4 linked regions of the Arabidopsis thaliana genome follow. The protein of the gene in region 1 purifies or fractionates together with the protein of each later gene. This does not show direct contact. Each region holds a gene or a part of one and is shown in the gene's direction. Other genes may lie near its edges.

Region 1 (5,648 bases):
AATGGGGACTAGAAAAAAAGGTACTTTCTATGACTCTAGACAATGCTACCAATAATAATAGTATGGTGAAAATCCTCAAGGGTCAGCTTCAGATGATTAGTGGCAGTGGTTTGTTATGTGATGGGAAATTTCTGCACATTAGATGTTGTGCTCATATTCTTAACATCATTGTCAAGAAAGGTTTAGAGTTAGCTAAGGATGTTTTACACAACATTCGAGAAAGTGTTTTATATGTTAAAGCATCTCCACAGAGGAAAGAGGCATTTGCAGCCTGTGTAGAGAGAGTGGGAATAAGGAGTGGGGCAGGGTTATCTCTTGATGTTCCAACCAGATAGAACTCTACATATGAAATGCTCGCTAGAGCATTGAAGTTTAGAAAAGCATTTGATAGCATGAAGGCTTTTGACACCAATTATAAGTCTTTACCATCAGATGATGAGTGGGATCGTGGTGAAAAGATTTGTGACTTGTTGAAGCCATTTAGTGTAATCACTACTTATATTTCAGGTTCCAAGTATCCGACATCGAATGTATACTTCACCCAAGTATGGAGGATTGAATTACTATTGAAGAAGTACGTCACTTGTGATGATGAGGATATAAAGCAAATGGCTATGGAAATGATATTGTCACTTTAAATGGGGTGGGTTTAATTGGGGTGGGTTAGCCCATATTAACATGACTACTCACTTATGTGGTTTGGGCATAAGTGATCTTATTTCTTTATAACAACATCACTGACTTGGTTTAATTCATGTGTAAAACCAGGAAGTCATCGACACATCTGGAGGGTAAAGTCTTATGATCACTATACCATTTATTCAATCATCGACCTTTGACATCTCATCTCCAGTTTTCAATTTAAACTTTACCCTTTTTTCCCAGCTGTGGCGCGAGTTTTGTGGTTGAGATTATCTCGGAACAGTTTGAGGGGAAGAGATTGCTCGAGAGGCACCGTATTGTGAACGCTGCTCTTGAAGAAGAGATGAAAGAAATCCATGCTCTCTCGATAACGAAAGCTCAAACTCCGCAACAATGGAAGCCAATATCACAAGACTCTGCAACAACTCCAACCACAGAGGCTTGAAGACAAAAGAACAACAAACATAGCTGAAAAGCTGTATTTTACTTTTACTTTGTTCCATGGTAGCTAATAAGCTTGAACTTTTATAAGCATCTACGGCGAAATAACTTATGAATTTGAATACATTACTGGCTGTTTATCATCTGCATAATCGAAATTCAACATCTTAACAGTCACAAACATTCTCTTTGAAAAAAACAGGAGCAAAGATCTTTACTCTTCCTTCTTCACCTTCTTCTTGGACTTTGCTGATCGTTCTGAAGAGCCTGAAACCGTACTTGTTGAGCTCCGATGTTTACCTGAGGAAGACTCTGAATTTTTTCTTTTTGGCGACTTTGGAGTCTCGGTGAAGCCAGAGAACATGCTCTTCTCTCTGCTGCTACGTGTGCCGCTTTTATGCCGGCTGCTTTGAGTAAGGTTAGATGATTTCTTAGAGGAATTCGTCACTGATCCGACAAGCTTCTGTTGTGTTCTAGCCTTCATTTTCTGAAGCAACTCGTTTGGTTCAGGGTAACGAACTAATGCAACTCGCCGAGTAATCTTCCCAACTATCATAAAACGAACAACAACAGAAGAATCATTATTAACGAAACAGGTGGTAAAACAAAACTGTGTAAACTGAACGACCAAAACCTAAACAAGACACAACTGTAAAGTAATGGGAATATACCAATCATTGATTCTTCAGAAGGTATAATCAACTCTGCACCAGCATCTTGAGAATGAAAGCTAGCAAGATCATACTTTGCACCTAAACAAAGGTGTAATGAGCCAGCTTTTGGAGATCAAAACTAAAATATTAAAGAGTATGAAAGAACACAAAACATAAACATACCATTTGAATCCTTGAATTCTCCAAATAACCCATCTTTGTCTGGCTCAATCTTAAGAGTGTTCTCTTCGATTTCTGGAAACTGCGATAAAGAAAAGTCATTTAGCTGTAGAACATTACATGAGGATCAAATTTGCAATAAAGAATCATTCTCTAAACATACTTGGCCTAAAGGGGCTTGGATAAGCCAAAACTCATCAGAACGCGTCAAATCAGTGTCATCTAGCTGCTCTGCGCCACTGACTATGAAATCTCCGGAAACTTTGAAATCGAAATCCATCTCTGCTCAAATCAGCTCTCGCGATTTCACAAAACCTGCAAAATCGAGAAAACAAGTGTTAAATATAGCGAGAGCTTTAACATATATAATAAACAAAGCTTTTGAACAAACTCAAACTCTGTCAAAATCGCAATTATAAATCTCTTCAAAAGACATAAATTAGTTAGAAAAATCAAGAAACTGGATGCAAATCGGAACGAGAAAGCTAAAGAGAAAGAAAGATGGCTTCGTCGGCGGCGGAAAAGAGAGAGAATCGTTACCGGAGAAATAGCAATTCGGCGATGACCTAAAACCCTTCCCAATTTATTTCTCTGTTTTATTTTATTTTGAAGTTCACTCAAAACGACATAGTTTAGTGAATTGGCGGGTGGAAAAGACATTTGGGCCATAATGGGCCTTTAAGTGACAGTACTGAAGAAGAAAGCAATGGTGATGGATGATTCAGTAGCTCTTCACTGAAATCTCATAAACCCTAAATCCCCAAAATGGAATAATCAAAATTTCATCAGGAGATCTCTAAAATCGAAATCTACTTGATCCCGCAACGAAGAAATGTTAAGAAGAAGACTCTTGTCGATCATATCAACATCACTCATCAATTCTTCGTTTCATCAAACCGCGAAACCCAGATTCATCATTTCTTCACCACTTCTTCAATGCCGTCCTTCTCCGATCTCTACTCAAATTCCGACCTCTACGAGCAGGGCTTTGTCGTTTCAAGGAATCAGGGCTTATAGTTTATTGAGCTTGAACGATCTGAGAGACAATGTGCCGAGAAAACTCAAGACGAGGAAAGGAAGAGGTATTGGGTCTGGTAAAGGTAAAACTGCTGGAAGAGGTCACAAGGGGCAAAAAGCGAGAGGAACGATGAAGTTTGGTTTCGAAGGTGGTCAGACTCCACTACGACGTCGTTTACCCAAACGTGGCTTCAAGAACAAATTTAAGCTCCATTTTCAGGTTCAAGCTTGTGCCTTTTAGTTCTGGGATTTTCATTTCTGAGGTCAAGTTTCGGATTTTGTAGCTTCCCTTGATTCGAAGGGTTAACATTTGTGATTGATTCCTTAGATTAGGTCGAATTTGAGAATCTAAATCAGATGGATCACTCTTGTTCTTCTTTCTGTATGCCATTATTGCTGTTCTTTAGCTGCTTGTGGTGAAGTAGGTTATACTGTGTGTGTAAGGATTTAGGATTTGACACTCTATTGATGCAGCGACTAAAGATGTTTATGATTGTTTTGTGATGCAGCCGGTTGGTCTAGGGAAGATTGCTAAACTCATAAACGCTGGGAAGATAGATTCTCATGAATTGATTACAATGAAAACGCTCAAGGTTCGGTCATACTTCACTCTTTGATTCAACGGTTTAAATTGAGTTTAGGATTCTTAATATGTCTGATTCTTACTGAACACATTAACGTCGGTTTGCAGGATGTGGGAGCCATAGGAAAGCAAATAGAAGATGGAGTAAGACTAATGGGTCGTGGTGCTGATGATATCAAATGGCCACTTCATTTCGAGGTTTATCATTTGCGTTATTAACTTTTGCTCTGTAGTCTCTAGAGCCGTTGCACCAGTCAATGTATTTGCTTAGTTAGATGTTCAGTTGATCGGTATGAGCGTGTTTATTACAGGTTTCGAGAGTGACGGTTAGGGCCAAAGAGGTGGTGGAAGCAGCAGGAGGATCAGTGAGAAGAGTGTATTACAACAAGTTGGGCTTAAGGGCATTGCTTAAACCGGAATGGTTTGAGAAGAAAGGAAGGTTATTGCCAAAAGCAGCGCGACCACCTCCTAAACAACAAGATAAGGTTGATAGCATTGGACGTCTTCCAGCTCCGAAAAAACCCATTCCCTTCTTTGCAGCTGAGGAGACCAAAGTTGAATCTCCTGTTGAATCATAATTTTGGGCTGCCATTTAACGTTTGATGTTTCTGTTTAAGTTGTTTGTGTTGTTTCTTGGTCAATGTTCACCACTAGAAAATTGAGAATGTCGGATTTTAATTTGACAAATAAGGTCTTTCTCGTTTTACTTTATCTGTAGTTGGCCACAACAAGTTATTCAACCATTTTCAGACTTGTTGTTTGGGATCAAGGCCTGTTCTTGTAGAAGGTTGAGAAAACCAGAGAACAATCACGTTAGATTTGAATTCATTATTATCCGGTTTGGTTGAGGCGTTGTTAATGTTAATGAGTTCAATGGTAACTTTGCTTTTTTTGACTAAAGATGCTAAAATCTGCAACTGCAAATATATAGGTTATGAGATTATGTCCCTTTTTTGCAGTGTTATTTTACCAAAACGATGTGCGAAATTTACCTAATTTATCGAAAAGGGGCTATGATTGTCTGAATTTGAACAACCGAACGTGATTAAAGAAGAAGAAGATAGATTTCGAGGTTTCAGAACTCATTACTCTTAACAAACATGTAATGATGAGTACTGTACTGTTAATTATAGCATTGATTATATTAAATAACTACGAAAAAAAAAGAGTACTCGATTGGTATTTTATTATCAAATAAATATGTAATTAGATCGGTTTATTTGTCTTTAAAAATGATCATTACGTATTTGTTTAAAATCAAGTGCAGTTCAATATCATACACTATATTTTAAAAATGTTTCTGTTTATCTTCTTCTATTGATCACACCTTTCTGATCTTATGTACCTATTGATGATCACCTTCCGGCATAAATGTCACGTTTAATGTCAAAATAAATTAAATGGCTATAGAATTAGATGCAACCTTGGTCCATCACATTGACAAATCACAATAGACATTTCAAAGACATTATTGGTTATCATTAAAACAAATCGATAGATCCCAAGAAAAAAGTCGATTATAAATCTCAAGACCATTCTACATCAGACTTTTTAGTTACACCATATATTTCAAACCTCTTTAAAGTTTAAAGATTTGATCTATTCTTTTACAAACACACATACAAATTAGTCCTTGTGATATAATATTCAAAGTCAATTTTCGAACTAATCATAAACTTTTTCAGATAGTTAAATTATTATTATAATAACAAGAACACGTGTATATCATGAGGATGATCGGCTCACACACTTTGATACGTGCAATATTACAAATTCGAGCTATCCAAAAAATAATACAACTTCCAATTACAATTTCATAATAATAAATCATATGTTTAGCCTTGTCGACATTAATCAAACAAAAATAACCATTTTCTTGGCATTACCAAAAAAAAATAAAATAAAAAACATTTACACCAACTTAAAACTCAAAAGCAAAGGGTAAAAGAGAGGAACCGGAATGAAAGAAACATATAACTAATTAAAAGAAAGAAAGAAAATAAAATTCAAGACCTTTCAAGCTTTTTCTCACGGAGAAGATCGATGCCAACTAAGTAAACCAATATCATTGTGTTTTCTGGAGGGACCAGAAGCTGGAACAGGGAAGTGACGTGGCAAGAACCCCAAGAACT
Region 2 (5,740 bases), on another chromosome or scaffold:
TTGACCATATTCATTATGCTATTTATCACCACATCACATGATAATAAACAAACAAACATCCTAGATAGTCTTAAGATAAATTTTACATAGTAAACTAAACGGAACACGTCAATGATTTGACGTGACGCAGGGGTGATTAACGGAGAAATAAACGGAGTTGGTTTAACTATCTACAGTCAAACAAAGACTGAAAGACATTAATGCCCCTTCTTTCTCTTTCTTTTTTGGTATCTTTTTTTCTTTCTTCTTTTGCTTTTAAAGCAGAGAAGGCATAATAAAGGACCAAAACGCAGCGTTTTCTTCCGGAGATCAGTCGGTCGGAAAGCGGCTACCTTTTTGTCTGCCTAGAGAATTTGTTCGTTTCTTTCTTTTACTCTCTTCAGACAAAACCCACGAGATACAGAAAAAGAGGACAAGAGAGAATCGTCCATGGAAGAAGACACTGGTATCGACGAAGCTAAGACATACACGGTGGAGAAGAGCGAGAAAGTGGAGCCGGAGAAGGACGGACTGAGTCAATTCAGAGACGAGGAAAAATCACTTGGTGCGGATATGGAAGATTTACATGATGAGACTGTGCGAGAAACCCTAGGCAAGGATCAGGTTCAAGGTAACGGTTTATTCTGCGCAAAATTCTTTATTGGTTTTTATTTATTTATTCGAGACTTTATTTTTTGACGAAATGATGTTTGAGTTTACCAGGTGTTCGAGAAAATTCCTCTGTGGAACCAAATGTTGAAGATGTATTAGAAGTGAATGTGAGTTTGCTTCAGACTCTTCTGCTATTCATAAACTTTCTTAACACTTACAACTTTGATTCTCTCATTAACATTGATTGTGCTAGAACTTGTAAAGTTTAACTCATTTCAGTGTCTTCGATGTTACTCGTTCAGTGATTATACAATAACATGGGAATAGGATTAATCGTAATGGTTTTAACCTTTGGCCAAGTTCAATCTGTATCTGTATCAGTTTGATCTGTTACATTTTAGTGTGTCTGATTTCTTAGGCAATTCTGAGGACAAGAATCACTGTTATCAAGGCATGACATTTAACTGCTTTTTGTATCACATTGGCAGGAGACTGATAGCGTCAAGGAAACTGTTGTAAGTGCGATTGTGCCGGTTGATGAAGTGGAAGAGAATCGTCAGGTAGAAACATCTCCTTCTCTGGCTGCATCGTCAGACTCATTGACAGTGACGCCATGTCTATCTTTGGATCCTGCAACTGCTTCAACCGCACAAGATTTACCACTGGTTTCAGTTCCAACTAAACAAGAGCAAAGATCAGATTCGCCGGTGGTTAACAGATTGTCGGTTACTCCTGTTCCTAGGACACCGGCTCGTGATGGTTATAATTGGAGAAAATATGGACAGAAGCAGGTTAAGAGTCCCAAGGGCTCACGGAGTTACTACAGGTGTACATACACTGAATGTTGTGCTAAAAAAATTGAATGCTCCAATGATTCAGGCAATGTGGTAGAGATTGTTAACAAAGGTTTACATACTCATGAACCTCCCCGGAAGACTAGCTTCTCCCCGAGAGAGATTAGAGTTACAACAGCTATCCGGCCTGTTTCAGAGGATGATACAGTAGTAGAAGAGCTATCAATTGTTCCTAGCGGTTCAGATCCGTCTGCTTCTACTAAAGAATACATCTGTGAGTCGCAAACACTCGTTGACCGGAAAAGACACTGTGAGAACGAAGCTGTGGAGGAACCAGAGCCAAAACGAAGGCAAGTTTGTAGAATTTTGCATTTCGGTGCTTACTCTTCACTTTGAAAGATGAAATTAATAGACTTTCTTCTCTCTATTTTTCAGACTGAAAAAAGATAACTCACAGAGTTCAGATTCTGTCTCCAAACCTGGAAAGAAAAACAAATTCGTAGTACACGCAGCTGGTGATGTTGGTATCTGTGGTGATGGATACAGGTGGCGTAAATACGGGCAGAAAATGGTGAAAGGAAATCCTCATCCAAGGTCTAGAAAACTAAACGCATGACCCATCTCTTTATCCACATATGACATCTTCTAATACGCATGGTGATTGATTTGTTCTGTTTCAAACATTCAGGAACTACTACCGATGCACTTCAGCGGGATGTCCAGTTCGTAAACACATTGAGACAGCAGTCGAGAACACAAAAGCAGTAATAATCACATACAAAGGAGTACACAACCACGACATGCCGGTGCCTAAGAAACGCCATGGTCCTCCAAGCTCAATGCTCGTAGCTGCAGCCGCTCCAACATCAATGAGAACCAGGACAGACGATCAGGTGAACATTCCGACTTCAAGCCAGTGCTCGGTGGGGCGAGAAAGTGAGAAGCAGAGTAAAGAAGCATTGGACGTTGGTGGAGAGAAAGTGATGGAATCAGCTAGGACTTTGTTGAGCATTGGATTCGAAATCAAGCAATGCTGATTATATGTAGTTTATGAGTTTTATAGAGTTCATCGACTCAATTTTCGCCTCCTTGTTCTTGTTATATAATAATAATAAAAAACCCCATGAAGATTACCAACTAAATACGTTAACATTCGTCTGTGTAATGATGGTATATGTTTATTGTGATATTAAATCGCTAATTTTAGTGAATAGCCTCTGGTTCGTCTAGAGGGTCTTCTGAAACTTGAAAGGGACTAAAAGACGAGAACAAAAACCCTTTCTCTCTACTCTGTGTAAACCCTAGTGTGTTCGTGCTCTCCGATGGCGAGTCTTCGATGCTTTCGTGAGCTGAGCCGCCGCGCTACGACTGTTTTCTCCATCAACCAGACGCGATCGATCTCTTCATTTCATGGGATTGAGTTTTCCGGGACCAGCATTTCTCATGGGACCGTAATTCCGAATCGATCTCTCACTAGGAATTTGCCATGGTACAGTCATTGGTATCGCTCTCAAGATCGTTGTTTCTCTTCGAACACAAAGGATACTGATGAAGATGAAGAAAGCAGTGAAGGAGAGGATGATGATGAGGAGGAGGGGGAAGACTTTGAGGATTCGGCGGATATGGAAGTAGAAAGGGAATATTCACCGGCGGAGAAAGTGGAAGAGGCGGAGGAGATAGGGTACAAGGTGATGGGTCCTCTTAAACCTTCGGAGAGACTTTTCAAACCCTATGAACCAGTGTTTGCCATTGTTCAGGTCTCGTCTCTGTGCTATCTCAATTAATCCTTTAGTTTCATTTCTCACTCTCACTGATGCTGAGTGGTTATTTTTATCCTGTAGATTGGTTCGCATCAGTTTAAAGTTAGCAATGGGGACTCCATTTTCACCGAGAAGTTGAAATTCTGTGACATCAATGATAAGGTATGCTAGCTTCAAGCTCTTCTTCGTTAATCTTTGCTATTCTTCTCTCAAAGGGCTAGACTTTACCGTATCTCTCGTAAGAAGGACGAACCTTTGCATTTGTGTTTATGATTTATGATTGTTGCTAAAACCTTTCTCTTTATGTCCCTTTGCAGTTGGAACTAACCAAGGTTCTTCTATTGGGCTCGGCAAGCCAGACGATTATTGGTAGGCCTATTTTGCCAGATGCGACAGTTCATGCTGTAGTTGAAGAGCATGTAAGTGTCTCATTGACTTGCTTGGTGTTTTATAATACTAGTGAAGCTGTGCTTAAGAATAATTTACAATTGAAAAGAGGATAGATGAGAGTTTGCTTGCTGAATCCGGTGACTGAGAGAAACTAAATCAAACTGTCTGCTGATTAGTTTGTGAAAGTCTTGCAAGTCATTAGATTAGTGTTCATCTATCTCTACATCATCTGAATGTCTTGATTTAAGATGGGCTTGGAATGTAGAAGGATCTACTCATGTACCAGCATTACTCAACTAGTTTTTCCTTGATGCGTGACAGGCTTTGGATGAAAAAGTGCTCATTTTCAAAAAGAAACGAAGAAAGAATTATAGGAGAACGAGAGGACATCGACAGGTATACTTTATAACTCCTTGTTTAGATAGACAGTGTGTTTATTTCATCTTTGCCTTCTTCTAGTTCTTTCCACTGTGTTATGATTGTTGTTTTTGACCATTCAACACTTGTGTCCAGGAATTGACGAAGTTGAGAATAACCGATATACAAGGAATTGAAAAACCAGAACCGAAGATCGTCCATAAGCCTTCGAAAGAAGCTGTTACAGAACAGACGAAGGCTGAGCTAGTTGCTTAGAGATAAAATTTGCTTCTTTCTTTTTTGCTGATGCCGATACATTTGAAGTAAGTTAAATTATCACTTGCTGTTCACTAAGAACTAGATTTTAAAGTCGTTGAAATGATGAAAAGGCCTTCTTGGTAGTTAGTGGTAAGTAACTAGGCTCCTGAGATATGAAATGTGATTTGCCTTTCACTGTCTTGTTCTCCTTGCTCTTCATTTTGTATTTAAACTGGCTCATGCTTGTGGGAGCTGTTTGTTGCTTCTGTTTCAGAAATAAAGATTTGCGGAAACATCTCTCTCCTTATCTTCTCTATGCTTTGTACTTTGTACTGTACTACTGTGGTTTGGTTATGGTTTAATTTACTTCTTCATGCAAGTCTCGGTCACAGATATGAAACTGGTGGTAAATTGGTAATAACTGCAAGTCACATTACACTCAAAATCTCGATTTTTTCCACTATGACTCTTTAGATCAGGTGATTATTATTGTAACTATATATGGCAACCACTTCCTCATCAACAAATGATTCACAGAATTGATAGTACTTGGAACTGATTTATAATTTCTTTTATCAACATCGGAAAATCGTGTAAGAATGCCTTGAAATATTTGAATGTTTGTAAATAGTATCAAAACCATTGTTTGTATAAATATGTATAAAGAACTTAAACAAAAGCAATTTGGAGCCAAAGAGAATTATAAAGCTACACGAGTACGTAAGTCCATGGTTAAGATCGGGTCGGGTGGGGACGGGTTGGATAAAAGCAAACAATGAGTCAAGTAAAAGAAGAATCATCGTCAACAAGAGAGAGAGAGAGATAAGCACAAACGCGGCTTTTCTTCTCCTTATAAATAAGAGAAGCTCAGTGCGTTACTCAAATGGCCGTCACTTTGGTAACGTCCTTCGCTTCTTCGTCTTCTCGCTTCCATTTCCGCTCATTCTCCTCTTCTCCGTCGTCTCTCTCCTCTTGTTTCGTCCGATTCCAGTTCCCCTCTCGCCTTAGACTCGCTTTTGCCGTCACGCCTCTCTACTCTTCTTCTAGAGCCATGGCTCATACAATCTCACACGCTACTCTCGGCCTCACTCAGGCTAACTCCGTCGATCATCCTAAGGTTTGTTCCTGATCGCTTGCAGCATTATTCGATTTTGCTGTTATGTGTTTAAACTCGATACTAGTGAATGCTTTGTAGATTCGTCGCTTTACTGTTTCCGATTAAGATGATCCACTGATTTGCTGACTTCGATTATGGTCAAGTCTTGTCAGAGATTAGCTTTCGAGTTTGAATTTTTGTGGTTAATTGGATTCTGATTAGTCGAATTTGCTGTATCAGATCTCATTTTCGGGGAAGGAGATCGACGTGACGGAATGGAAAGGTGATATACTCGCTGTTGGAGTGACGGAGAAAGACATGGCTAAGGATGTGAACTCCAAGTTCGAAAACCCGATTCTGAAGAAGCTTGATGCTCACTTGGGTGGACTTTTAGCTGATGTCTCGTCTGAGGAAGATTTTTCTGGGAAACCTGGTCAGTCGACAGTTCTTAGGCTTCCGGGTCTTGGGTCTAAGCGAGTTGGTTTGATTGGTCT
Region 3 (5,859 bases), on another chromosome or scaffold:
CCCATGTCAAGGTCCATTGACTTCACCATACCAGGATCATCATCAGAGTAAAGACTCCTGAGTCTTTTGGCAAACCCACTAGTTTCATCAACACTTCCTCCATTTGAGCGGCGGAACTCAACCTCGATTTCCTCTAACCGTCTCCTCATCATCTCCAGTTCCTCTTGCTGCTGAACTATCCTTTCCTCCATTCTCCTTCTCTCCATCTCAACAAATTCCTCAGCCATTCTTCGGCATTCTTCAAGTTTCTTATCTAGTTCCGACTTCAAAAGCTGGGTTCTCTCGTTTACTTTCTCTTTTATCTCCTCTTCATTGGTAGCACAAGCTTCCCTCTGTGTTAAAAGAGATCTTAAAGCAGCAACTTCCTCTTCCTTCTTCTTCAGCTGCTTTTGTGCCTCATTCCTTTCTTTTTCTTTTTGCTTCTTCTCAGACTGGAGTTTGATAATGAACTCATCCATGGCAGCTATTCTTGATCCCAAAATCACAGCAGAAGCAGACTCATCACCCCCATACTTATCTTTGTTTGGAGTATGAGACCCACGAACTATGCACTTTGCTTTTGCCCCATACTCTAGAGTACAGAGAGTCTTGTGCATTTCCTTTGGATCCGGGCTCGCACACAGGATCATTAGAATCTTTGACTTGTCATCTTCAAAAGAGTCCTGCATTCAGAGAATAGAAACAACACTAAATATCTTCAAGAAAACCAAGCAACACGTAAAACATTTTCCAGAAGATAAAACAATGGAACAAGAATTTCACCTGGAGAAGCATGGTCAGCTTGCTGTCTCTAAAGGGTACATGAGAATCTCCATTTGCTATAGATTCCACAACTCGCTTCAGTGCAATATTTCCCTGGTTGATCTTAGCAGTCTGTTGAATAATGAGAGATATAAGTCAGTTGATATCCATAACTACAATAACTTTAGTAGAATCAAACAAATTGAGAGAGGAAACATTACTTGCATCTTAGCTTCAAATCCAGTCTGCCCAGCTTGGTCTATATTTTCAGAACCAGCCATGTCAACAAGCATCAATCTTCCCCCAACAGTTGGCACATCAAGTATGATCTACAAAAAGAAACAACCACACTAGTAAGTTAAAACAGAGATAAGCTGCATAAAGCTATGCATACACATCAATCAAGAAGATCGTTCTTACAATGCAGTGACTCCGAGAACTTCTTTCGTTACAAAGTGTACTCTTCACAATTCTCCGTTTCTCCACTTTGACAATTTCTTTAGAAATCTTCCCAGCCTCTGTCCCAGAAATAAAACTTGCGTTTTTCGCCTTTTTCCCCATTACTTCAAGCCTCACCTGTAACAAAACAACAAAGTACACACCTTTAAAGCCAATTCAATGTATACTAAAGTTATCAATCAAGAAACTTTACCTTAGTGCTTGCTCCTTTAGGCCAACCAATACCTAAATTGTTACTACTATTAGTCGAAAGAAGATCATAAATCTCCTCATTATAAACCTCAAGAACAGTAACTTGAACAAAAGTAACACCATCTTGATCAGAATCTCCCAATATATCTCTCAAAGAACGATACACAATCCCAGGCTCTTTCCCACAACCAAACATAGTATGACTCTTTCCAGCACCAGTAGGTCCATACATCATAATCGTGCATTTATTCCCAACTTTCACTCCTTTAATCCTCTCTTCTATAAACTTCTTGTAGAACTCTTCAAGACCTTCTTGCTCCGAGAAAGAAACACCGTCGAGTGTGAAGTCTCTGTACCCAACATCAGCTCTGACTCGTACCGTTTGATTATCTGTGTTGACTTGTAAGATCGAAGGTGATTTCTCTTTCCGGTCAGGGTAATCTCGGATCCGGCCGATTACTTCAACTGGATGCTCCGGTGGAGATGGATCTTTAGATCCGTCTGGGTTTGGGGTTTTTGAGTGGAAATTGAGACGTTGTTTTGTTTGTGGAGTTCTGATTAAGGTGTATTGAGTTTGATTTGATCTTGAAGAAGATGGTGTCGGTGCCATTGTTGAAGAAGTTTCGAAAGAGTGAAATTGAAATTGAGATTCAGAGAGCGTTAGAGAGAGAGAAAATGAAAAAGGGGATTAGGGTTTGTGAGTGATTCACGAGGTTTGAAGTTTGAAACAAAGAAACAAACATAACCGTTGTGTTGTATCTCTAAACGGCTAGTTTTTGTCCACGGGCCACTGATTATTAACAATTTTTATTTTCGGCAACTAGAATATATTTACTTTCTTTTAAAAAAGGGAAGTGAGATGGGCCTGACTTTTTGATTAAGTTAATGGGCTTTTTGTGTTTATAGAGGCCCAATGTTTGTAGTATTAGGGTTTTCTCAAATGTCTCTCTTATAAGCTCTGTTACTTTAGGTTTTTATTAAAGGTTTTGCGGCAGTGGAAGACGACGGCACGAGCTTCACCGAAGAGCGAAAATGGTGACTCTCTTCTCTTTCTTTATTTCTGCTAAATTTCTCCTTGGTTACTATTGAAGAACGAGATTATTGATTATAGATCTGCTGTGTGATTTTTCTTCTTCTTTAAGTTGTTTATTTCTGATTTTGCATCTTAAATCGAGAATTATTAGAGTCTAATTGTGATTTTTAGAATCTGTTATGTTGCATTCTGTGTTGTAAATTCGAAGATTCAGTTCACTTCGTCTCTGTGAAGAGTTTTAGCTCCAATCTACCAGAGATTCAAAATGATATAGTGTTATGTATCTTCATTTGTGTTGCTGCAATTCTGTTCTGATTTTTAGGAGAATTAAGAAGGATTTGTACTTCAGGGACTTGTAGGATTCACAAAATGGTTATCAATATTGACTAGTTGAGTAGTCAGATCGTATGGTAGCAATTAATTCTGAATGATTTAGGAGAAGCAGGAAATTTTATTAACAAGTTTTAGGGTTTGTTCTGAAGGGCGTATTTAGATTCACTTCTATGATCGTAATTAATTCTGTATGCTGTTGAAACTGTATCTTGTGGTAGTTTTAAACTTGGTTTTCTGTAGGTGAACATTCCGAAAACTAAGAACACTTACTGCAAGAACAAGGAGTGCAAGAAGCATACCTTGCACAAGGTGACGCAGTATAAGAAAGGTAAAGATAGCCTTGCTGCCCAAGGAAAGCGTCGTTATGATCGTAAACAATCTGGTTATGGAGGTCAGACCAAGCCCGTCTTCCACAAGAAGGTATACTCGCTTTTCCTTGTCTTGATCTCTAATTACTGTCTTCTATGTGAGAACCAATTTAGGATTTCAGAATTGACTCTGTGAAATATGTCTTATAGGAATGATTTGTTAATTGGACCTTGCTCATTATTTGTCTTTCTTTGGAACAGGCTAAGACAACTAAGAAGATTGTGCTGAGGCTTCAATGCCAAAGCTGCAAGCATTTCTCGCAACGCCCGATTAAGGTAATGTCTGCGACATTCTTTACCTTTGTTAATCACTCTTTAGTCTCAGTTCTGTTTCTTACACTTTGTGTGTGGTTTTTGCAGAGGTGCAAGCACTTTGAGATCGGTGGAGACAAGAAGGGAAAGGGAACATCTCTCTTTTAAGTTGTTGTTTCATCTATCTACTTTTTTTTGTTTTGTTTGGTACCTGTCCTGCTTCAATACTGTGATATACTTTGAATCTACCAGAAATGGTCCTGGTTTTTAATTTAAATAGGACTTGGTCTTATGGATGTCTTTTAATTTGGTTAACCAATCTTTCTTCATTAGGCTGCCCTTGAGTATTCTCTATAACTTGCGACAAAGTAGACATAACACTCTTTAAGTTCTAAAAACCACTTTCTATTTTCGGATCTCGAAAAATCATTTATCGTTTTGTGCTGCAAATCAGTGTTATATATGAGCTTGGCAAATTAAAATGACATATACGTATAGAAATGAATTGATAATACTAAATATTATTTGTTTTCTTCTTTTAACTTCAGCCATACTAACTTTCACTAAATTTCTTAAGAGCATACAGAAGTTTCTCCTCGGTATATTGGTGGTTCTATATTCCCCGCAACGTGAATGGAAAATGAAGGTTCTATTTTGGCTATATGATAATCATGCCATTAGCTGACCCGAAACTAATGTGTTACAATAAAACCAAATTATATAAATAGAAGAACATGTTTCCTGGCTCCTTATTGCACAAAAGAGAACATGAACAACTCTTTTTATATTACCATGATAGTCCTATGTGTTTTGGCCTTTGTGTTAGTTTTAATTGAGAGCTGTGCGGGCAAAATGGTAGATGAGATGATATTCTCTTGTGTCTGCTGTGGTGGTCCTGGCTGCTGTGGTGATAGAGGAGAAGGACCTGTTGGTGGTGGTATTGACAATGAACCGGTGAATGTAGTAGTGGTGGTGGTGGAGCCAGGCAGCCAGCGGCGGAAGATGTGGTGACGGTCAAGGATGCTACTTCAGTTTTTCTTTTTTTACTTTATTATACTTAGATTCTGGTACTATATATATTATGGGTATAGATAATTTACACTAAAGTTTTATTTCCGTTATTTAAAATTCGTGTTTTATTTAATCTCTAATTTTCTGTTTCCAAGTCGAATTCCTCTGTACTAATTATACGGCCTTTTAATTTTACAATATGAATAGCCATTTTCTACTAACACATTCTTACCTTTTAGAGGTGTTAATTTTAAGGTAAGTTTCTTCTCTACAATTACGTAATATCATTCAAATCTGTTCATGCTGACAAAAGTTAGGTACTTTTGTGTATATTTCTCGATCATTGACATTGTCTACTACGCTAATATCTAAGGAAAGTGGCATCGATTCTACTTGCTTGTAAAACATACATCGCGATGTAAGTCAAATTCTCTAATAATGTAAGAAACGAAGTGAGAAAGAAAGATAAATCCAAAAAATTTACTTGCAAATCAATAGAGATCCAAACCAACTGCGCATGCGTTAGTCAATTGATATATTGTATATAATAGAACAAATACAATTTTTGTTTTTATAAATGTATAACCAAAAACGTAAGAGCAATACTATCGAAATAAATACGTACTGCATATTACACGATAATAATAGAAAGAGATTTGATGTTTGATCACTTGGAAGTAAAATGGAGATAGAGAAACACAAAGAGCAATACGACCGGAAACATCAAGATCATTGGAAGAGATGGTGCAGTCACCGGTCCCATCATCAACGGAACAAACAGTAACATTAGTGCAACGACAACAATCGCCAAAACCGAACCCATCCCGAATCCATACTCATTCGCCATTTTCGTCTACTTTTCGATAGGAGTAGTGATCAATTCTGTGTTAGTGTCTCTAATTGGAGAAGTTATATATACACAGATTCAGACATCAAATCTACGGTTGTGTCGTTTCCCCGAGAAGTAGAAGACAACGTTTCGTGTACTAATGCATGAAACACAAAAACTGGCGAGACCTTTCACGTTAATAACCACCTCAAAACGCTGCGTTTCGGTTTATTTGTTGCTGCCACGTGTTTTAAAAACAGCATACCCTAAACGCATCGTTTCGTGTCGCAATCAACTATTCAACTGTTACTGTATATTTTATTAAAAACGCAGCGTTTTAGTTAACAAAATTCGTGTCGCTATTTCTACACTGCCACGTGTTTCAAAATGTCGCGTTCTGCATTTGTTGCTATCACGTGTTTAATAAATTTACCTAAACGCTGCGTTTCGTTAATCAATCGACTTTTTGAACATTCGCGATCTCCAAAAATTTTGAGTTTTTTTTTTGGAAATCCCGCCCAAATATTTTGAAATTGAAACTCTAATAAATTTGTCGGCTTGTGGAGTTGCGGTAGTGATATCCTCCATTTATCGTTTTGTGCTTTTTCTTCAAAAATCAAAAGCTTTTATTTTTCCCCCAA
Region 4 (6,298 bases), on another chromosome or scaffold:
AGATCATTGTCATTTAAATAACATTATATATGGTGAAACTCTATCTCAAGGTTTTATCTGAATCCTTTTTCTGAAAACAGAGGAAAAAGATTTGTACTCTCTGAATTTGTATAACTAGGGGGATCTAAGACTCGTTTACCCATATCTGGAATCTAACTTTCTTCAATTGTGCTTGCTTTTGATCTTTGTTTTTGTTATATATGCTCTATAATAATCTTTATAAAGTGGTGTAGATAATCAGATTTTCACAGGTTGTGAATCAAAGTAAATTGGATGAATGATGCATAATGTTACTATTACAGGTGTATGAAGCAGCTTATTTTGGTCAAATGTAAAAAAAAAAAAAAGTGGTAAAAATAGTAGTCACGAGGAATGAGACTTGAGATTTTGAAAAATGGGCATAATCAGAAACTTGACTCGTCAGTTGATGGACGCCTCAAGAAGTACCTCAGACTATTAGCAAGGACCTACAAATACAAAATTTGATTTCATTTCAGTAAAAACATTTCAACTTATCAAAGAGAAAAGTCTAATTTCAGAATTTTAACCTGCTGGAGAGGCTTGATTAGGGCTTTGTTCCTGTAGCTTACATGAAACTTCACCTTAGCCAACAAACCCTTTTTGTTTCACATACAACAAGAAGAAGCAACATGAGAAACAGAGCGATATTATAGCGGAGGGTATATGTTTTAGACATTAAAAAACAGGATTATTAGATACCTCGGTGTCGAATTCTCCAGATTCAACAGCGACGCTGATATCTGAAATGATCTTCACCAGCTCAACTAATAGTCCAGGTCTATCCGCTGATTCTATGAAGAGTAAACTGCATCATCAACAAATAATTATGGATCAATGATCAGATCATATATCATAAGAATAAAAGCATTTGGATAAGGTTCTAGAGTTGAGATAAGGTATGGGTATACATTACCTGCGGTCTGGTCCATCATCTTCAATGGTTATATGTGTTGCTATGTCCACGTCAATCTGTCAACATCCCAATCCAAAATACAGAAGAAGGAAAATGAATTTTGAAGCTACTTTGAAGTTGCGTGGGTATTCCCTTCTTCATCAAAGTGATTAATACTATAATGAAGTTTAATACTTGTACTCTACATTGACCCGCCAAATCCAAATATGTTGATTATTAGTTAAGTCTTTGTTTTCTCTATTATTGTTTCTTATCTGTACGTGACCGAGGAAACGACAAGCAGTCTTGACCTTTATGTTCGAGGATGCTAACTACTTGAAGAATTAGTGCAATACAAAAGAAGTGGATAAGGTTATAAAAAGAGCATCACAGTTTAAGGTTTTTACCGGTTCAGTTGGAGGAAGAACACCAAAAGCTGCTCCCATTGCCAACTGAGAACTTGATTCCTGATCCAAATCATCGAGAAGCAATGTGTGAGTTAAAAAATTATGCAAGATATAGGAAAAATAGAAAGAGAGGATATTAGGATGTGAAGTAGTTACAGGATGAAACTCAAGCAGATTGTTTATGACTGTGAGACGAATGGCCTCAAGCAATTCAGGGTCTTCTACTTTTCTTCCACTATCTCTGTTGTAACAACAATTACAGTCAGCTCAAAACTCAATCTAAAGTCAACTATTTGACAGAGTCAATCGATTCAAAGCAACATTAACTATCTAAACGACTCTTGGAGCTCAAAATACTCTTTGATGATATGAAAAGACATACGCTCTAGTAATGGCAAATTTGTTGTGCTTGCCGGAAGAATCAAGGTAAACATTTGCCTTGACGACATTCAATCCCAAGTTTTTGAGCGCATTCATCTAGAAGGGCAAAGTTGATCAGATCAAGAAGCAGTCAAAAAAGCAGGAAAGGAAGTAAGAAGCTTTTGTGAATGTTGGTCGATTATGCAGAGCTAGCAACAAGTGAGTAAGAAGAAGGTATCCTTCCTTACAGTGTCAAGTAAAGCTCCAAGACGATCTCCGAATGTAACTTCAAGAACGGTTGCATCAGGGTCAGAATCTTGGTCGATTATAACAACTGGAGTTGGAACTTTATCAGAATCAGCAGCACTTCCTTCTTGCTTTCCATTCTTCAAAATCAAAAACAAAAACATATAAACTTTAAAAAGTCTATTCAAATTACTAGTGTCCTTGTGTAATCATTTCATTTTCATACCTCCACAGCAGTAGCATTTGATGCTCTAATCTTCAAAGTGGATAATCTGAAGAAAAAAAAAAAAAAGAATTGAATTGAAGTATTTGAATCCGTAGAAGATCAGCTCAAAACAATCTGTGCTTTGAATCGAATTCCAGCAAAAGATACGAATTTATAACCAGCAATAAAATCATTTGGACATTTTAAAAAGATTAGCAACTCGGAACACAAAATTCTGATAATCGTTAAAAAAAGGTATCAGATGCTTTTTAAGGATTTAGAGATCTGTGGAGAAAATTCACTACAAAAGAATTTGTTTCGGAAACAGTATTTACTTCATGAAACTCGAATCAGCACAAAACTAAGATCACAATCGAAAAAGCAATCCAAAAGAAGCTCGAATTCAAATTCTCAAGAAGGCATCAAGAGATAGCCAAAAAACAAAAACCTTAATCGCTCGAGATTGACAAGAGGTTTATCGACAAATCCAAACGTAACTGTCCTAGGAGGCAAGCAAAGAGCTCCACAATCGCGTCTTAAAGCAAGAGAGCTAGAAGCATCAGTGAAGCAAAGAGCAGAACCAGAAGCAGAGGCCATAGCCATCACTCAAAAATCGGAATTAAGAAGAATGAGGAAAACGTTAGAGAGGAGTAGTAGTAGTGATGACGAAGAAGAAGAAGAGCCTTTGGACAGGTCTCGTGTTATCCGCCATGAGAGGATAATAAAAAAGATGTGACACACACACACAAAAAAAAAATGCCCGTTTCGTCCTTCTTATTATCTTCAACGTTAGATCGCCATTTCTCTTGCTTTCCCTTTCCTTGCCTACTTTTACATTTTCTTTTTAAATTCCACCAAATATTGTCTTCTTTTAAAATTTAAAAAAGTACACAATTCGACAAATTCTTCACATTCCTATTGGCCCCGATTTTATCGGATGTGACATGCTATTGGTCAGTGTTTTACCGACTAGTTAAAACATTAGGTGGCGCTAAAACAAATAACTAGGTTAAATGGAACATGACGTCATCCTTTATAAGTAATGGCCTTTATGGCCCAAACTTTCATCTCAAACGCTTCAGCCCACTGTTTAATGGGCCTAACGCTAAAGTGATCATCATATCGAAAATTACAAGTTTGCCACTTTCTCGCTGCTTCATCCCTCTCGTTGGTTCGTCAGATTTGCGTCCAAATCCCTCCCTAAAACCTTGAGTCAGACTCAAGAGATACGAACCAGAGAAATGTGGAAGTACGGTTTAAGAATCGCCGCCGGGAATGCCAAATTGAATCGGAAGTCTTCGATTCTAAATAATACCGTTTGTCATTTCTCACCTCCGACTTCAGCCGCCGTGGGAACACTTTTCCCGAGTTTAGATCACGTTCATCGATGCTTTTCATCTTCGAAGAGCACGAAATCTTCAATCACCAAAACGAAGAAATCTGAAGGCAAAAAATCCAAACCTAAAGGCGGCGATCCTGGTGCCGCCGGAGCTGAGGAAGGAGAGTTTGGAGCCGCCGGTGGAGACGACCTTGAAGCGGGTCGTGCCAAGAGACTAGCTGATGATGAGAAGATTCCGTCTCTAGATGTTGGTCCTAATGGAAGGCCTCTCTTTACTCCCAAAGATACTACACTATCGCAGCTGACTCACAAGGATATTGGCTCCTACTTCAAATTCGAGTAATCTCAATTCTCTCTTTCCCTTATGTTTCTGTTTATCTATTTTTAGAATTTTGTATGAATCGTTTTGTGTGTGTTGATGTAATATATATATTGTGGGAATGATAGTGAGGCAGCACTGAAAGCAGTTCTGCCGGAAGGATTAGCTTCAGGAATTGAAGATGAGTTTAATGAATCATGGAGACCTGCATTGCTTGTCAGAAAAAGTTACTTGGCTCTGAGGGATAATTTTAGACGCATTGCTGATCCTCCCATGTGGCCAAGTGACAGTAAAGGTGTGTTCTTTGTTTCCGTTATGTTGATTTCTAAGTATCACGATTAGTGATCTCTTCTATGGTTAACAGTTTTGTGTGTTTTTATTTTCCTTTGAAACGAAAGCAGCCTAATTTGTTTGCTAAGTCTTGCTTGTCATATGCCCTTATCCGGGGATCTGTAATACCATAGGTATTTATAATCATTGCTTCCTCTTTCTTTCTGAAAAGGTGTCAAACTTCAGAAGCAGATTGTCTTGGATGGCCCTGTTAAGTGTGGAAAGAGTATTGCTCTGGCGATGCTTGTTCACTGGGCACGTGACGAAGGCTGGTTAGTTTTATATGCACCAAAAGGACGTGACTGGACTCACGGTGGCTACTTCTATAAGAATCCACATACAGGGTTTTGGGACACTCCTCTACAAGCTGAGAATATTCTCAAGGCAAGATTCCACATGCCTCCTCTTTTGGAATGGAATTCTTCCTATTTAACAGCATTTCTTAATAAACTTAACTTCTGTAGGATTTTGTCAAGTTCAATGAATCCCGCTTAAGAGAGTTACGGTGCAAAATCCATGATCCTATCGTGCTTGGAGAGGGTGCGGGTGTTGGATACTTGAAAGGAGCAGATGCTATGCCTATTCCCGAGGATTCAACTCTGTATGACCTTGTGCAAATGGGAATTAAGAGCACTCATGCAGCTGTTAATGTCGTTGTGCGACTTAGAAAAGAACTCTCAGTTGTAAAAGATGTACCAGTGTTGATTGTAATCGATCAAGTTAGTCCCCAGTTTTCCCCTTTATGATACCATATTTCGCCTTCTATTATTTTAAATCTCTCTCTTTTTCACTAGAGCTAATGCTGCTTGTTTCTTGTTGTTTACTTGTCTTTCAGTATAACAGTTGGTTTACATTCAGCGAGTTTGAAGAGCCCGTAACACCGCGTTCTTGCCGACCTATACATGCCAGAGAACTTACAACGGTGAATTTTTCTTCCAAATTGATTTATGATCCAGAAAACAAAAATCGCAATTAACTCAATTCTTTTGGCAGGTGAATGCTTTCAGAAGCATGATGCATGAAGATATGATGGTGGGTGCATTCTCACATTCAACAGCAGTAGGAAAACTACGCAAAGACTTGCCAGATGTTCCAGTTGATGCTCGTCAGCAATTCCCACGTTATTCTTTGGATGAAGCAGAAGCTGTCTGCTATTACTACCTTCGGTGAGTTAACATGAAACCAATTTTAATAGTACTCAGCTCTGTAATCCTCCTCTCAACTGATCAGACCCGTTTTTTAGTTATAGTTCATTATTGAGTCTATCTACTTGACATGTGTATGGGCCTAAACCGAATATCGATTTCACGAACGTTCAATATGGTATTGTTTCAGGCAAAGACTAGTTCGGCGTGAAGTATTCAACGAAGAAAACTGGAAGAAGATATACTATCTGGCAAATGGAAATGGAGCAGAGATGCGTTGGTTAGCCCCTTTCATGCGTTGAGGAACAATATACAAACAAACAAAATAGATTGTGATCTTGATTTGTCGCCTTTTCTGGTGTTTTAAGTTATCCCGTTAGTTTGGGAGAGAAACTCTTTTCATTGACCTTTCTGAATTAAAGGAAGATTTTTGTTGTTTGAGTTTGTAGTTTTAGGTTTCCTTGTTGTCTGTAAAACACTGGTTTTTGGACCTAAATTTCTTTCTAATAAAATCAGTGCCTCTCATTTATTATCGCTCGAGTTGATAACAATGTTATGCAAAAATAAAAAGTTGTGAAAGAGTGAAAGAATCACTCACAAAACAGGCAATTGATGGGAAGAAATTGCGGAACTGCATATTTATTGTGCGGAGTTATGATTACACCAAAACCATATAGCATAGAAGATAGCCAAATAGGTTTAAAAAGAACACCAAATTGATGTTTGTTTTCACAAAAAGGAAAAATTTAGACATAACATAACACATTGAGAAAAGTACACAAGTTCTATTGAAAAAGAATAGACATGAAGAGCTATACAAACCAAAAGGCGAAGAAGAAGAATGAGAAGAAAAAACAATTAGCTCATCTTAGGAAAATGAAACCACACCCTCCAAGCATCACCATCCTAACCGTAATAACTCGGAGACCCAAAAGAAAAATTTTAATGAGAATTAAAAGGAAAGAAAATAACACTACAACCACCACCAAACGAACCCACCAGCAAGATCACATTTTTTCCAGATTCATGAAAAA

Evidence for each region.
Region 2: the proteins of AT5G64670 (region 1) and NFD1 fractionate together in Arabidopsis thaliana (co-fractionation; one large-scale study listed by BioGRID). This does not show direct contact.
Region 3: the proteins of AT5G64670 (region 1) and AT4G14320 fractionate together in Arabidopsis thaliana (co-fractionation; one large-scale study listed by BioGRID). This does not show direct contact.
Region 4: the proteins of AT5G64670 (region 1) and AT1G16870 fractionate together in Arabidopsis thaliana (co-fractionation; one large-scale study listed by BioGRID). This does not show direct contact.

What each region holds. Positions count from the first base shown.
Region 1 is NC_003076.8:25,850,981-25,856,628, reverse strand, and holds AT5G64670 (Ribosomal protein L18e/L15 superfamily protein), read left to right. Parts: upstream 1-2,561; 5' UTR 2,562-2,748; coding exon 2,749-3,153; intron 3,154-3,442; coding exon 3,443-3,526; intron 3,527-3,624; coding exon 3,625-3,714; intron 3,715-3,827; coding exon 3,828-4,094; 3' UTR 4,095-4,388; downstream 4,389-5,648. Other genes in the region: AT5G64680 (mediator-associated protein), read right to left, coding at 1,298-1,632, 1,755-1,859, 1,920-1,998, 2,080-2,196; IDL2 (inflorescence deficient in abscission (IDA)-like 2), read right to left, coding at 5,545-5,648.
Region 2 is NC_003075.7:15,048,598-15,054,337, reverse strand, and holds NFD1 (Ribosomal protein L21), read left to right. Parts: upstream 1-2,586; 5' UTR 2,587-2,707; coding exon 2,708-3,142; intron 3,143-3,226; coding exon 3,227-3,307; intron 3,308-3,462; coding exon 3,463-3,564; intron 3,565-3,856; coding exon 3,857-3,931; intron 3,932-4,048; coding exon 4,049-4,168; 3' UTR 4,169-4,527; downstream 4,528-5,740. Other genes in the region: WRKY32 (WRKY DNA-binding protein 32), read left to right, coding at 430-610, 703-758, 1,080-1,735, 1,821-1,979, 2,074-2,422; LAP2 (Cytosol aminopeptidase family protein), read left to right, coding at 5,034-5,267, 5,487-5,740. UniProt on the Arabidopsis thaliana protein: This protein binds to 23S ribosomal RNA in the presence of protein L20.
Region 3 is NC_003075.7:8,240,371-8,246,229, reverse strand, and holds AT4G14320 (Zinc-binding ribosomal protein family protein), read left to right. Parts: upstream 1-2,319; 5' UTR 2,320-2,424; coding exon 2,425-2,427; intron 2,428-2,998; coding exon 2,999-3,178; intron 3,179-3,327; coding exon 3,328-3,402; intron 3,403-3,486; coding exon 3,487-3,508; coding exon of another isoform or gene 3,509-3,546; exon of another isoform or gene 3,547-3,800; intron 3,801-4,204; coding exon 4,205-4,389; 3' UTR 4,390-4,498; downstream 4,499-5,859. Other genes in the region: AT4G14330 (P-loop containing nucleoside triphosphate hydrolases superfamily protein), read right to left, coding at 1-662, 763-873, 963-1,070, 1,162-1,317, 1,394-2,002; AT4G14315 (uncharacterized protein), read right to left, coding at 5,057-5,236.
Region 4 is NC_003070.9:5,770,232-5,776,529, reverse strand, and holds AT1G16870 (mitochondrial 28S ribosomal protein S29-like protein), read left to right. Parts: upstream 1-3,207; 5' UTR 3,208-3,372; coding exon 3,373-3,809; intron 3,810-3,917; coding exon 3,918-4,084; intron 4,085-4,291; coding exon 4,292-4,503; intron 4,504-4,583; coding exon 4,584-4,838; intron 4,839-4,954; coding exon 4,955-5,041; intron 5,042-5,112; coding exon 5,113-5,285; intron 5,286-5,454; coding exon 5,455-5,566; 3' UTR 5,567-5,798; downstream 5,799-6,298. Other genes in the region: ACR11 (uridylyltransferase-like protein), read right to left, coding at 405-467, 549-617, 721-826, 935-990, 1,321-1,380, 1,477-1,561, 1,703-1,797, 1,929-2,066 and 2 more.